2 linked regions of the Oreochromis niloticus genome follow. The protein of the gene in region 2 purifies or fractionates together with the protein of the main gene of each other region. This does not show direct contact. Links are inferred from orthologs where the notes say so. Each region holds a gene or a part of one and is shown on either strand. Other genes may lie near its edges.

What was found. The genes of interacting proteins can lie anywhere in the genome.
Region 1: the proteins of mapk4 (region 2) and fastkd5 purify together in Homo sapiens (affinity purification with mass spectrometry; 3 studies listed by BioGRID and IntAct, with this or other methods). This does not show direct contact. The link is inferred for Oreochromis niloticus from reciprocal best matches to the Homo sapiens genes MAPK4 and FASTKD5.

What each region holds. Positions count from the first base shown.
Region 1 is NC_031987.2:17,799,938-17,808,004, reverse strand, and holds the start of fastkd5 (FAST kinase domain-containing protein 5, mitochondrial), read right to left. Parts: upstream 3,476-8,067; 5' UTR 3,210-3,475; intron 2,708-3,209; 5' UTR 2,696-2,707; coding exon 278-2,695; 3' UTR 1-277. UniProt on the Homo sapiens protein: Plays an important role in the processing of non-canonical mitochondrial mRNA precursors.
Region 2 is NC_031977.2:22,133,004-22,140,441, reverse strand, and holds the start of mapk4 (mitogen-activated protein kinase 4), read right to left. Parts: upstream 3,337-7,438; 5' UTR 2,617-3,336; intron 1,121-2,616; exon of another isoform or gene 1,118-1,120; 5' UTR 1-1,117. UniProt on the Homo sapiens protein: Atypical MAPK protein. Phosphorylates microtubule-associated protein 2 (MAP2) and MAPKAPK5.

The DNA.
Region 1 (8,067 bases), on a different chromosome or scaffold from region 2:
AAGAACATATAAATGTCAAATGTATTTTATACTACAGCCTGGCATTGAAAAGCTGATGTTTTAGTTTTCATATCAACAGTTTTTATAGTCTTGAAATGTAAATTTAAAAATATACTTTTACAAAAATCTCAACGAAAAACATTTTTGCAATACAAAACATCTTTTATTCTGCAATGTGCAAATATTTTCAACACTGTAAAGATTTTCCAGAAGCCGGATGGTTATACAGTTTGCAACGGACTCCAAATTTTCTCCACTTTACTGTGGCTGAGAATCATTATAGATTGTCGTAGAGTTTGCAGTGCAGATATGCCAGCTTCTCGGCTCTGCTTTTCCTCAGCAATGGAAACCACTCTTGATAACTAAGCTCTACAACCCTATAGCCTGCTATCTTTAACTGCCTTCTCTTCATGGCATGAAGTCCCAGGAGCTGCTGTGACTGGGAGCAGAAGTGGTTCCTGTTCGAGACCTGTACGGCAATTTTGACTATCTCATTGGAGTCCTTGCGAGAAGACCCAAGGTGACTGGGTTTGGTCAGAGTTTCTATAATGTCAGTGGTCAAGTCTAACACTGTGTCAAAGAGTCTCCCACTTTCATCAGGCTGTAATCTTTGAAGAGATGCAGTCTTCACTTTAGGTGATTGAGCCAAAGGCGCTTTTGTGTTGTTGTTTTTATTTATCAACTGTGCTAAAAGTTCATCAGTTATTGTAACTCCTACATTTAATTTCCCCCATCCCTGATTAGAAGGAGATGTGGATGAGCTTTGTTCTAGAGATGCTTGGTTCACAGGTACAGGCTGCCCAGTGGAGTTGAGGTGTACTTCCAGGTCAATGGAGCGAGTATGGGGAAGGATCATTCTTTTACATACAAACTCCTCACCACCAAGCAGATCTTTCAGAGCAGATTCTGCCTCCTGAACCTCGGGTTTCTGGCACACATCTGACTGAGCAAACTTCCACAGCATTTCTGTAACCTCATCCCGAAGTTCACTGCTCAGTCGAGGGCCAGTCCACTGAGGCAACTCCAAAGCTACAACTCCATCTAAAGTGAACAAATCCTTCTTCAGCTCAAGCTGTGTGCATTTCAGTGCTAAGTTGACAAAATCAGGGCTCAAGGCTAATGCAATTAGGTCCTCTGGGAACTGTGAGACAAAGGCCAAGCCTAAAAGACCAGTGAGCAGATGCTCTGGGTATCGTTGAAATTCAGCTTTCCTTTGCCTCAGGGATTCTGTAAGACTTGGATAGAAGCTTGGACTCCGTAATGGGAGAAACCCTAATGTGCCATAAGCCCACAAGAGTTTGCATGAGTCTTTACTTCTGCAGTGTGGCACTAACAAGGGTACTCTGTCAGCGACAGCAGTAAGGATATTGTCATTACTGTAATGAAGAGCAGAACAGGTCAGTGCCACATGCATTAGCCCCTTGACACCCATTCTGTGGGCACGCTGAGGAACTTCCTCTGCCATGGCCTCCAGCCATGCCCTGTGATATAAATAACTGAAACGCAGGTACTTCAACACATTCACCATGGCAAAGTCGCTCATCTCCTTCACAAAAGAGAGTGCCTTATCAACAATGCGAGTCACTGCACTCTCAGATATTGAAGTTTGGGATTTAAAGAGTCCTAAGCATATAACACCAACCTCCTCAGGTCGCAATTGTGGCAAATGATTCATGAGAAGCTGCTCCAGAGGACGGATCACGTCTTTTGGACACTGCCTACCCTCTCCCAATATATACAACAGTTGGACCACCTCGGGCACGCCCAATTGTCCCAGATGCAGACGAACGGAGTCATAGAGGTGCAGTAGGAACTGAGGTGCCTGCTTCCCTATACAGCGCCACAAATCAGCAGCTAAAATCAACTGATGCAAAGTCATCTGACTGGACCGGCGACTCAGCTCAGTCTCGTACAGTTCGAGTATAGTGTGGGCAGAGGGCATGCCCAGCCACACAAACGACTGCAGCACCTCTAGCAGCTGAAGTTGAGTAAAGTGGCGAAGGTGTTCCACGGAATATCGAAGGAGCATGATGAAGCGCTGGTCACTCCTCACTAACGGCATCTTGTCTGGGTGCAATCGGCTGAGCTCCATAAGAAACTGAGACACATCAGATGCTTTCATGCTGCCCTTTAAAACAGCCACTTTTTGGAGCAGCTGCATTGCCTCTTCCCATTTGAGTGGGTGAGGTCTCTGGTTAAGGTCTAGGCTCATTGAGGCATACTCTGGTCTGCATTTGTGGAAGGCACGCGTGTCTATTTTAACATCTGGTAGTACAGGTTTTCTCTGGTAAGAGGACGCTGAGGGGATCTCTGGTTCAGAGCTTTTATTGAAGGCCAAGTCCAGAAGAGTGTTTTTTGAGCTGGAGAGATGTCGTGAGCAACTCACACTGTAGCGATTGCTCCGTTGCCAGAAAGAAGGTGCGAGAGTGGGTAGACACTGCTCATCTTCATCGTTGTCTGTTTGGCTATGGGAGGCAGAGTTCAATGCACAGTGATGATATGAAGAAGGGCTGTAATGGAGCCTGTATCCTTCTAAACATACTTCATTGTGATGCGACAAGCTTCTCTTTTCCTCCAGATCATCAGCCTCATCCTCTGGTTTAATATGCACATGCTGAGCGCGGGCAAAGCCTTTTCTCAGGCCTGGGAGGTGGCGTAGCCTGGGCATCCAGCGACACACCACACAGGCAGCCATGGGTGTACCACACTAGAAAACATAGCAAAATACAGCAAAACAAAAGTCATGTGCCAAGTCAAGTAATGTGCCAAAGCAAAAGCATATCTTACAAATGAATAATTTATAAATTGTTTGTATTAAAAGCACAGTTAAAAAGATAGAGATGCATACAGATGAGCTTCCTGGTTAATTTTTAAATGTTGAAACTTTAGACACAAACATCATAAAGCTGCTTGTCAATCGTGAACATACACTACTTTTTTGTTATGGTGGCTATTTTAATGCACTTTTGTAGCTCTTTCCGAGACTGCCTACAATACATGATATTTCTCTCTTAAAATTACAGTTTAAACCAAACGATAAACCTAAATTATTTAAAGATTTACATGTTAAAGTAGTCTGTCCATCTGTAAACCAACAGAGGTCAGACACGTTTTACAATGAGACAGCAGGAAACACAATGTTAATTTAAACTACACTAAACTAAAATTGCACAAATCTGTATGTATTTTAACCAGATCATTGAACTGACCTTTTACGATCCAAAAGCAACACGTGCAACGGTGAGAAACCTCATGAAACCATGGCAAGAACACACAGCATTAGTCTGTTAGAACGACTCCTCTGACAGACCTACGGCAACCCCACCGGAACTCGTGAATTCGATTTTCAAAATAAAATAAACTTTATATTATCAGCTACATTGTTATATGTATACATACTCTAAAACAAATTAATACATCAATTTGAAATATATACCACTGTATTAGCACGCCGTAATTTTAATTTTATCCTTAGTTTTAATAACAATTGCCTGTAAAAGTACCGTGTCTGACTGTATGATATTATTATGGCAGGTTGATCTAACTTCCGTGGAGAGCAGCGTGTGACCTATGGCAGCTGGGTAGGTTCAAAAATACTCATTCAACGAGCCGCAATAAGAACACATCAACAATAACACAAGTTGTGCTAACTGAAACTAATTAATAATAATTATTACATTTGATCAAAACAAAAAAAGACCCTACCCGACCTAAGATGTTCCCATACCATAAAAACCATTCTTATTTAAATCTTATTTTACATCAGTACCCAGTAGTACATAAATAAATGTGATTCTGGAACTAAAAAACCAATATAGATATACAACAATTTTTGTGACAATTATTTCTACATTTTATGTTGATTCAATGGCTACAGTACTGTGCAAAAGTCTTGAGCTACCTTGTTTTTTAATTCGTTGCTAGGAAATGGGAAAGAGCTTAAAAGTCAGTATTTGGTAGGACCAACTTTATGCTTCAACACAACTTGGACTATTTTTTTTCTTATTTGTTAATTACATAACTTTCATGTACTGTTCATCTGCTTTAACATTGCCTGCCACTTCTTCTTTTGTGTTCCAAGCTCTTTGGGAGTCAACTTGTTAGTGCAAAAATACTATTTTATATTTTATGTTTTTATATGGCAGATATTATTTATAGATGTTTTCATATTTTTAATTCAACAAAAAAATGGGAACACATTATGTGTTTTTTGACAGGCTTCTAGTAAAGAAGAGGCAGAAAAACAATTTAAAAGTTCTTTGCTAAGTTGTCTGTTTTTTGTAGATACAAAACTGCTTCAACTTTAGAGTTTGGTAACTTTTTTTTATGTTGGAATGATTCAGGATGGAACTGAAAATGAATAAAAACATCCAATGTTCAAAGAAAATCTTTAGCATATCTTCAGAAAACATGGCATTTAATTCATTGGAAGCAAAATATTAAGAAAAAGGGGGTAACTCTTTTTCGTATTTGTTGTGTGAGAAACTGAGCTATCAAACTAGGTTATACTGTAAAACATGTTTTATTTTTAAAAACTATCAGGTTTTTTTTCTTTTCTTTTTCCCTTTCTGTTTATTTAGGTATGACCTACGTGAATTATTCTTGTCCTGTTTAGATGTTACATATTTTATTCAAGTGTGTTCATTCTAGTATTTCTACACATAATAATTTATTAATTCCAAAATGTACTGCCCAAGTCTAAAACAAGTTGTATATCAGAAGATATGTAAGGGCCCAGACACTTGCTGCCATTTTAAGTCTTGTTAAGTCTTTAAGTTTTTTCACTCTGTAGATCCTGTCTTGCTCCTCCTTACTGTTGTTTCAAATTTTTATTCTTTTATTAATAAATTTGTTAATTTCTTTTAAAAAAGCAAACAATTCAAGTTCAGTTAACTGAACTTGAATTGTTTGCTTTTTACAGATAATGATAATGACCAATCTAATCAATTTGATTTTTTAAAAAAACATAAAAGTTGGTTGACTACAATATCTGGATTTGATGTTTTTCTTTCTCTTAAATGCAACACAACTTGTTTTTGTGAAAGATTCATTCCTAACACTAAAACTGTCTAAGATTCAGTTTAATTATAAAATTGTGGTGAGTAAATTCTAAGTGTTTTAGTTTTATCACACTTAGGCAAGCTCGCTGTCACATTTTTACCACATGAGATTCTACATATTCTCTTCAAACACCTCGATTTTAAACAACAATTGTTGCTGTTGTTAGTTTTTGAAGATTTCCACTGTATGTTGTATACATTCTCTGCCTACAAAAAAACACTGTTAGCAAAATAAAAGATTGATTTGTAATGTTGCCATCCCCATGTTTTTGTTTGCTTGTTTGTTTTTTAAATCCTCAAAGTGAATTTTAGGAAATGTTAAATATGTCACAGAAATAACAGTTGAAGTGAGACTTACACCTCTTTGAAATAGTTATTGTATCTATTTTATTTGTTGTTTTATTTTTCATTAAAGTTCAACATCATAATCGTTCATATGTTTTCATTGCAATGCTTTCTGTCACTGAAATTTACATTTGCATTTCTCTTCTGTTTGAGCAGAAAAGGCAACTTCAAAATCTGTGCCTCCATTGTGTGACTTCACACATGAATGAATCCAGGGGTTAGAGGTGAACTACACTGACCTATGGCTATATGCACGACAGTTCTCTCATTTCTGCTGGGAACACTTCTTATGTCCTTTGAGAAGGTATAGGCCCAGCAAAAGACACTGAGCCATGTAGGTGGCCTTTGGATTCCCTTTGTAAAACTCTTTGCTGACATTAATGAATATTTTTATGTTACTAAATGTTACAGTTCAATTGTATAAAGAAGCATGGTGGTATAGTCTCTCATTAAAACTAAAGATAAAAATCTATTATAATATTTTTTTATTTATCTAATATTGTAAAGAATGTCAAATAAAAACAAAACGAAAAAAACTAAAACATAGAAAGTCGAAAAATGTTATCATGATTATTATTCGTTTCATTTGTAAGGTTCTGTTTTGGTTACACTGCTTCAAATTCTGGTCAGCTACAAATCTGAAAAGCCATCCCAGAAAATTCCCCAAATAATTCTTTTTTATGTAGTAAACAGATTTAGCACACAGACGTATACTATCATCCAGTTTAAACAAATAGAACAAATTTATTTTTCGTTAGATCGAATTATTTTAAGAATGTATTAAATCTCATAAAACATTTTTTATTCCACGTGTAAACATCACCAAAATCAGATTAGAGAGCCTTACGGCGTCCCGTCCAGTGATTATAATGGGAGGCAATTTGATATATTTTTTTCCCCTATTAAAACGGCTTATCTATGTGACCACCTTTGTATGTATAGCTACAATATATGAATTAAGTGGGGAAACTTCAGAGTCCCACTTGGAGAGGAAGTAGAGGATTTATGCTAATGAAGGAGTTGAGGCTCCGCTACGCTGGCTGGGAACCGCCCTTCATTCACCACATGGTTAAAAGGAGAGTCTACTCGCGCCACTTTCGCAATCTTACTACGATTCCCAAAATCCTAGCAAATCATAATAGTAGCACATGGTTGTGCACTTTTTTGGAGGGGTTACACGTCTTAGCCGATGTTTAATCTGTGAAGTCTGTGTTCTTTTTTTTAAATTTTGCAGATGTCCAAGAAACTGGGTAAACGGTAAGTCTGAACAAGTGAGTGAAGATGGTGGATTTTTTAGTGTCTTATAAGGCGCGTGTTGTTGGCAAGAAACCTGTTGTTAGCCTTTTTGGGGAGATGCGGTAAACGTCGGGAAAGTGAAATGCGCTGGGTTGACTTCGGCACGGGTGTGCGCTTTAACGTATATGCGAGGAGGGGAGAAGAAAGCGTTTTAATAGTCAAGTTTCCGCATTTTTAAAAACAAATGTAGTAGAAGCGCATGGCAACCTCTTCTCCATGGCAGGAGAATGAGGGAGATTTGAAAAGCATGTGTTGCCGCTGCTGTTGCACCTCTTGTCGGTACCTCGGGGAAGTGGTCCACACTCGTAAAAAGAAATAAAATAAAATAACCGCTACAAATTTTGGCAAAAGCCCCAAGTTGTAGACTCACGTGCCCTCGCTGTCAGCCGTCTGTTTGTATAATTTTTAAGTTTTCAGTCATTTCGGGTTGCGGTGGTGTACATTTAAAAGTGCCTCCAGAACAAAGCAGCAGCAGCACATGGGGTTGTAGCAGGCCGCGCGCCTTTGCTATCTCGCGAGCTGCCGAGTTAGCGGCTAACGCTAACATGCCAACAAAAAAGATGTGTATTTAAAATAATAACATAATTGTCACTAGTTATGTGGGCTCTCTTATGTTTATTCAAACGCCGCTGTCGGCGTTTACAAGCACCTGGGAGCACGTGTACTGATCTCTAATTAGCATGTGTGAGTTAGCCATACTGAAACAACTAAGTTGGCTAAGACAAGGGGCAATACAATGCTTAGAAGTGGACGGGGAGTGGAAGCGAATATCTAAACGTTACCAGCATACTTCGTGAGCTTACTAGGGTATTGGATTACGTGTTGTCTTTAAGGAATACGGATAGGTGAACAAACTTTAATTGGATAATAATCTAAACAACTAAACGCACTGTAGCAAGCTGCACGCGTTAGCCTGTTTGGCTAGCGCATGCTTAGAGCGGACTGTTTTGATGGAGCCCTCGCGTAACTACTAGCTTGTGTGCTGGATTCTGCGTTAAGTTTGGAGCAGTTGCGGTTTCACGCGTGGTCCACAGACTAGTCATTATATGCGAACGCCTCACGTGCGGCCAGTTTTAGCTGCGTGTGTGCACGGACACTGTAACATTGTCGATGTAGTCCCATGTGCTGTGTTCTTGCAGTGGCTATTACATTTTTTTTTTTTTTTTTTTTTTAAACTGTGGACTCCTGGGCGCCATGTTAGCGGGTGGGGGAGGGGTACAGAAATGTGGCTGGAGTACAAGTGTTGGTATCCATGAACAGTCCCGTTTCAGACTCCTGATTTATCATTTAGCTATAAGGTGTTCGAGCTTATTGGCGTCTCTATGACACTATCATCTTGATTGCCATGTGAGGAGCCTGGCTGCTT
Region 2 (7,438 bases):
TAGATGTTTCCTTGTAGACAAAAGCACAACGCAGGACTATTCCTACGGAAAATGGTGACAATTCAAGAGACCAACCAAAACTTAAAAAGGGATTATTAAGAAATGCTTGTGCTGAATTTCAGAGCTATTCTTAGTATTGCAAGAAAAGAAATGATCTCCATGGGATCTAAAGAATAAGATTTTGTGCGTCATTTGACCTCTTCATTTAGTACAGTGTGGAGCAATTCAAGTTGTACTTCACCATCTGTTGCCTGTGTGTCCCAAACTAAGGACAAAGAAGATGAACTCTGATGCCTTTGAGAAAAGGTGCAACTGAGCAAAACATCAAACCCAGTACAGATAAAAATATGCAAAACTGTAATGTTCGGCTTTAGTCAGTGATCACACAGGGACACTTTTAACATGCTGGTAAAGCCTCTACAGTGGATGTTTAAAAATAACTTATTTTTTTCCTTCAGCATCTTCCTCTTGACTCTTGACGGTGATGATGTCTGTCTCTCCCTCACAGATGTTTTATTTTAGAGCTGACGTCTGCTGCAGGGGTGCACTTCTAATCTCTGCCTGTATCTTCATGCACAGATAGTCAGAATATCAGGGAGCCTTATTAATACTACTCAGGGCATGGGGTATCCATAGAAACAACCCTCCGTGTGGCTGATTCTTGACTTGATGTATCATGGGACAGCAGCAGCAGCAGCAGCAGCAGGCGGATGGTCGGCTCTGCACTCTTCTCTGTTTCTGCACGCTCCGCTGTTTGTTACAAGTCATCAAGCAGCCTTTGATGGCGAGGCAGGAAAAAAAAAGGGAGGAGGGGTCATGTGTTTTACATTCAATAAGACTCTGTTGGCTCCTCCTCTTCTTCCATGATACCAGTGAGTGCCTCTATCAGTCACGCGAGTTCATTCAAAGGGAGCTCCACACCTGGGCGCCAGCCAAGTCCTGGAGCTGTGGTATCCGCTCAGTATTCATATGTGTACATGTGCTTGGGTGTAATCCCTCAGAAATCTGCTTCCTGTTGCCTTTTCATGAATGTAGGGATTTCAGCAGCATCAGCATCAAGGCCAGTATAGGAAGACACCACCATTAGCTGCGTCGCTCAGCACATCTGCTGCTCCTGCTGCTGGGGAGGGAAAGAGGAAATGGGGTGAAAGCTTGGAGACGAGGAAGATAACAAGGAAAGTTAGACGGCAGCAGAGCCTGGGTGTTAACAGGGTCTGTTGCGGCAGAGTTACCATTACATAACACCGAATGGCAGTGTAACCTAATCTATGCAAGTAACTTTGAGTGCATAGAGAGAGGATGATCAATTTTATGGTGCTTTAATATGCGCTATATGAAACTGTTATCACATCAAAGCAAAAAGTCTATTTGACAGGGTGGACTAGATCGACATGATGGCAGTTTCTTGTTCATCCTTTCAGCTTTAGACAATTTTAGTTGCAATTTCTAACCCAGGAAGGTCACATAGAGGTAGCAAACAAAAGAATTGACTTTCTCCTTCTCTTCAGCCCCAGAGGTGAAGTCATCAATCTATAAAACAAATCTCTTTGCTACCAGAAGCCTCAGGGCACGGTTGTGAATGAACTCTTCCCTCTTTCAGCTCTTTCTTACTTGAAATGGAGAGCATGCACCCTGTAACTGAACTGGACTGCAGGTGCTTTTATCCCCCCCCCTCCCCATTTCCACAGCCTTTAAAATACTTACACACTCATGTTAAGCTCAGTCAGGCTGACTGTCAGAGGCTGCAAGAGTGTAAGGTGAGAACAGAGAGACTAGAGAGGCAGCACTGACAGTGGTGCTGGGTGGGAGGTGCAGCACTGGGGTAACTTTATAAATAATGCATAACCACTAGAGACGTCGTTGGTGCTCTCTCTCTCTCTCTCTCACACACGAACTGAGCATTTATTCTCTATATTTCTTCAGGTTATGCAACATAGCTATATATTATGAATAACAATGCAGTGTCTTTATCCAGTCCAAAAAATGTTTAGCGTCTTATATTCAAATTCAGAGTGCATACCTTTAAAAGAATATAACGTAGTCTTTCATTCACATTTAAGAGGAGGGAAATAAAAGTGAACTCTTGGCATGAGCCAATATGATGTTACCAAATTTGTCGGTGATAGCAGATATGAGCAAACAAGGGCACATCTGTCATACTCCCGGCTTTGTGCTGATGCCTTTCTGTCCCAGAGGAACCTCTGTAGCTTTGTTTTCTACTCTCGCTTTTCCATCTTCCTCTCTCTCTCTGTCGCTCTCTCTTTTATACTCGGTTTACTTCTCAATAAGCGTAAAGGCAGTTTTAGCCCACTTTACATCATGGGAAACACTGCATGTTCTTCCTCTGCGCACGCTGGCTTGATGCAGCTGCCTTTGTGTGTCTACACACACTCTAGAAACGCCCCTCTGACAGAACAAAAACAATGTAATGGAAGTGCATGTAATAAAACATAAAGCCCAGTTTATAAGGGGGGGAAAAGTATTCCAACCATAAACAACCCTATGTCAGACACATATCTCAGATATCTTATCAGAGCATCTGTTCTGTGGCAAACAACAAGAGGAAGAAGAAAGAAATATACGCAAAGATAACACCAGGAACCATCCAGCACTCACCGGGGCATTACACAGCCGCAGCCTGCCGTCCAGAAACAAAGATCCGGGGAAAAGATGCGAGCTCCGTGCAAGCAAAGAAAGTGAAACACGACCGCAGCTCTGCCTCTATGGTGCGTCGGGGAGATTCAGTTGATAGAGAAGGGAACAGTCGGTGCGGGTCGGCACCGGGCGGGGGGGAGATGAGATAAGCCGGAGGCTGCTACAGAGCCGGTTATTGTGAGCGACTGTCCGCTCTCTGTCAGCGCTTTAGAGCGGTGATCTGAGAGAGGGGGAGGAGAGGAAGCGATCACCCCGATTCAGGTGCATCTAGCAGACCTGAGTGTCCTCGTAGGATCTCTCACACACTGCACCACACATGATTAAGTACTAATCTCTCTCTCTCCCTCTCCCTCACTTTCACATCTCTCCCTCATATCTCCGTGACTCCCAGCAGCTGCTCCCAGACCTTAGTTTCCACGAGTGTCACAGTTACTGGTCTCCAAACCCACTGAGGGCTAAACAATGGGAAAATTATAATTCAGACATCCATCTTTCTCATCCCTTCGCCCCTCCATCTCACTCCAGTTTCGTTATTATAGCTTGATGATTACCACGGCCATCTATCATCCTGACAGGCGCAACATCTGCGGGTCTGAGATCCCCCAAGACAGGAAGCCAGAGAGGAGCCTTTGTTGACTGTGGGTTCTGCAGAACATCTACCTGGTGGGGAGCTGGTGAGGAGAGTGAAAATGAAAAACACAAGGCTTTTGTGAGCATGGCATTGGCTAGTGTTTAAAAGAAGAACAGAAGAAAATGGCTGCTGATGAGCTAAAGTGTGCCAGTTTTATTATATAAATTATGATGAAATTAGTCTATTTCACAAGCCAGCTGAACCATGCTGTTGTTCCTAAAAAACAGAGGGGAAAAAACAGTGATCTACAGCTATAGTTGGATAAACGCAGTGTGATTGGTTCCTCATTCTCTAGCTATATTAAGATATGATTTCTTGCTTTCCTAAACCCTTTTCTGACAACTCCAGAAAACTGCGTGAGCTCAAAGTGTGTGGGTTGTTGACCTTTATGAAGACTAACAGAGCGGAAAAAACAGGAAAAAAGCAAAGTTTCTTCAGCTTCTGCAGCATCTCAATAATCTGTTGACTTACAAACTTCAGCAGCCGCTGGAAGGTCACGGTGAGCGTAATAATTATGCAGGGTTGCTTCAGCTGGAGGGATTAATAAAGAGGAGAGAGGCTCCGCAGAGAACAGATCCATGAGTCACCTAATGTAATGAACTGTGTGTGATGCTGTTATGATGTTGTGGGTTTGTCAAGAAGAAGAGACAGTTACAGATACACTTCTAGATTTTGTGTTCCATTTCTGCCTCATTAGTGTACGGATATCTAAGCTAATGGGGATTCATGGCATGAGAGCACAGATGAAGATGTCTTTCTCACCTCTAATCTGAAACATCGTGGCATAAAACAGTTTGGGAAACAAAACTTTATTAGGTCTTCAGACTGCAGAAAGTATCTGACAACTTTTGGCTGAGTTATGTTTCGGGGATGAATCATTTGCTAAACACAGACCGTAAGTGGGTCTGTGGTTTCTTTGTGATTACAAAAGGAGGTTTGAAATCAGAGAGCCGCTGCTATCGCTAAGATGAAAAGTGACAAGAAATATTTCCAACAACAGGATTTCTGTCTCTCGCTCTCCTTTTTTTTTTTTTTTTGATGTATCTAAAGGGAATCTTGGTCTAGTCTATCAAATTTTCATCTTACAGAAGCATATCTGCTCTTTGTCCTGCAAAAATAGAACAAGTTTACAAATGGAAGGTAGAAAACTGTCAAATGCTTTGATTGCAATTGCACCCAAAGAGTCTTCCTCTAAGGATGCTTTTATTCAGTAGCAGGAAAAGCATCAGAATACATGGTGAAAACCATCCTGACTGATATCCCAGCTAACCTATCCCAGCTACCATAGGGCAAGAGGTAAGTTACATCCTGGACAGGTCAGCAGTGTGACACAGAGGAACAGGCAACCATTTGCACTCACATTCACAGTTACAGGCAATTTAGAGTCACCATATAACCTAACCCTACCAACTGCATATCCTTGGACTGTGGAAGGAAGCCGGAGTACCCGGAGAGAACCCACACAGACACAGAGAGAACATGCAAACTCCACACACAGGTGGTGGAGGCGACTCAGTAGAACCTTCTTGCTGTGAGGCAACAGTACCACTACACCACCCCCTTGTTTTAAAGCCTGTTTCTAGTCCATTGAATCCTTGTAAATGTAAAACAGAGATGGACACCTTTTGCTACATTATGCAACTGGTGACCAGACATTTCAAAAACATATCTGTCTGCAGATTTTGTTTCTCCTGTGCATATTTTCTGCAACAAACTTAAATGACAAAAATGTAAAATACTGATATAGAAAAGCTGGATTAAAATAACCCTTTGTTTGGGGATATATTTTTTTTAATTCATTCTGCATTTCTGTTCTGTTCGTTCATGTGGCAAATCAGATTCTTTGTTGGGCAACATAAGCAGGGTGTAAAGGAAATGAGGTAAATAAATAAATAAATAAATGAAAGGAGGAGATGATGGAAAGATGAGAAAAAGGGCAAAGGAATATAGCAAAAAAAAGGAGCTAGAAGACACGGATATCTCCTTCAACAATTCATGCTGTGAAGATACACAATTATAGGTAATATGGACAGAGCTGTGACCTGCTGCTTCTCATGTGGTCTATTTCAGCCTCTGTTCTCTGTCCTGTGTGTCTGGGCCTCTTCTCTGGCTGCCCTCTCTAATTAACACTGATGCCGTAGAACAAATGGAGACATCACAGCGTTGGTTGTGGGTGACTATTTAGAGAAGCACACATAAACAGTAGCGTGCATGCTTGCTGTCAGTAGCACCTGCTCTTGGTCCTGACGGTGCATATTTAATATTTGGTCTCAAAGGATGGTGAAAGGTTGGAAAATCAAATAAACCTCGACACTACTACAACCCTATTTGTTTGTATTATTTTTTAATAAAAAGGAGACAAATCCCACTCTATTTCCCCGCCATACCTATAAGAAAGCAAACATCTCTCTAATCCACCATGTGATACACTTCAAGCCATGTTCTTTGTTAAACCTTTGATGGTAAAGCTGACAAAGGCAGCAGTTATGAAACAAATTCAGAAAAGACACTTAGTAGCTGAATAGCTGTGCACAACATGAAGGAATTCTTCAGGTAAGTGTCCTCAAATCTCCACAAAGAGGAAGAAAAACAGCCCTTCTGAATTTTTTCTCCATCTTCCTGCAGGAAGTGAGCAGCAGCACCGCATGTGCGCCCTCCTCAGGTTAGCTCCTGTCAAAAATTAAATAAATAAAAGCAAAGATCCCTCTCTAAGTAGGAAAGGAAATAAATAAATTAGAGGTCAGGCGGAAATCTTCTTGTGATGACATTAGGCATGTGCGCTTGGCTTGTGAGGAATTTCTTCCTGTGAGTTGATGGCCCAAATTGGAGCGCGAGTGAGAGAGAGAGAAAGGGGCCACATCTGGAGGTGTCCAAATAAGACAACAGAAAATGCCACAGTAATAAATTATCCACACAAGTGACTCATAGCCTCATGAATTCATCGCTCTCTGGTTGTTTTTTTTTATCTTTAAAGTGAACACGATACTGTCTATCTGTCAGATTCTGAATTCATGGGATACAAGTCTACTGTTTTCCTCCAGTATGCAATCAGGATTCCTAAAAAAAAGTGTTTGGTTTGTGTAAATTAATATATATAAATATAAATATAATATTTTATTTATAACAGAATACAGACAACATGTCAGATGTTTAAGATGAATCTCAGAGAGATTATGTTTGCCAGCAACTCCTCTTCTAAACATCTGGGAACTGAGGAGACCAAAAGTTCAGATGGAGGATTTGTGGCAGAGGGATGTTGTCTCGTTCTCCTCTGATGCACGATTCTTGCTGCTCAACAGTTCTTTGTCACATTTGGTCCCTCTCTTCCTTAGGCCACAGAATGCAACGTCCATGTTTTCCAAAATGATTTTCAAATTTTGATTTGTCTGTCCGCATAACATTTTTCCACTCTGCGTTTCCGGATTATGTTCATATTTGGCTTCTTCTTTGCACGATAGAGCTTTAACTTGCATTTGAGACTGGCACGATGAACCGTGTTTATAGCAGTGATTTCTGGAAGTGTTCCTGAGCCCCCACATCGATTTCCATGACAGAATCGTACCTGTTTTAAATGTAGCGCTGCCTGAGGGCCCCCATCCAATCCAATATTGATTTTTGTCCCTTGTGCACAGAAATTTCTCCATATTCTCTGAATCCTTTGATGTTATTATTTACTGTAGATGCGATATTCAAAGTCTTTGCATTTTAACACTGAGGAATATTGTTGCAACATTTGTAGATTTGTAGTTTTTTTTACAGATGGGTGAACATCTGCCCATCTCTACTTCTGAGAAACTCTGCATCTCTGAGATGCTCTTTTTAAACCCAATCATGTTACTGACCTGTTCCCAATTAACCTAATTAGTTGCAAAATATTCCTCCTGTCGTTTCTTTTTAGTACCCCCCTAAAAAGCCTTTTGCAACCTTCTGCTGCAATAAAATTCAAAATGAGCTAATATTTTTCATGAAATAGAAAGAGTGTTTTCTCTGTTCTATAATAAAACATGCATTCATCAGATTTCCATATCATTTGGTTCTGTTTTTATTTACATTTTACACAGCCTCCTAAACTTTTATATTTATACAAACCCAGTTTCCAAAGAGTATAGCACTGTTTTTACACAGGAGTTTTATTCTAATGTGTATTTTATG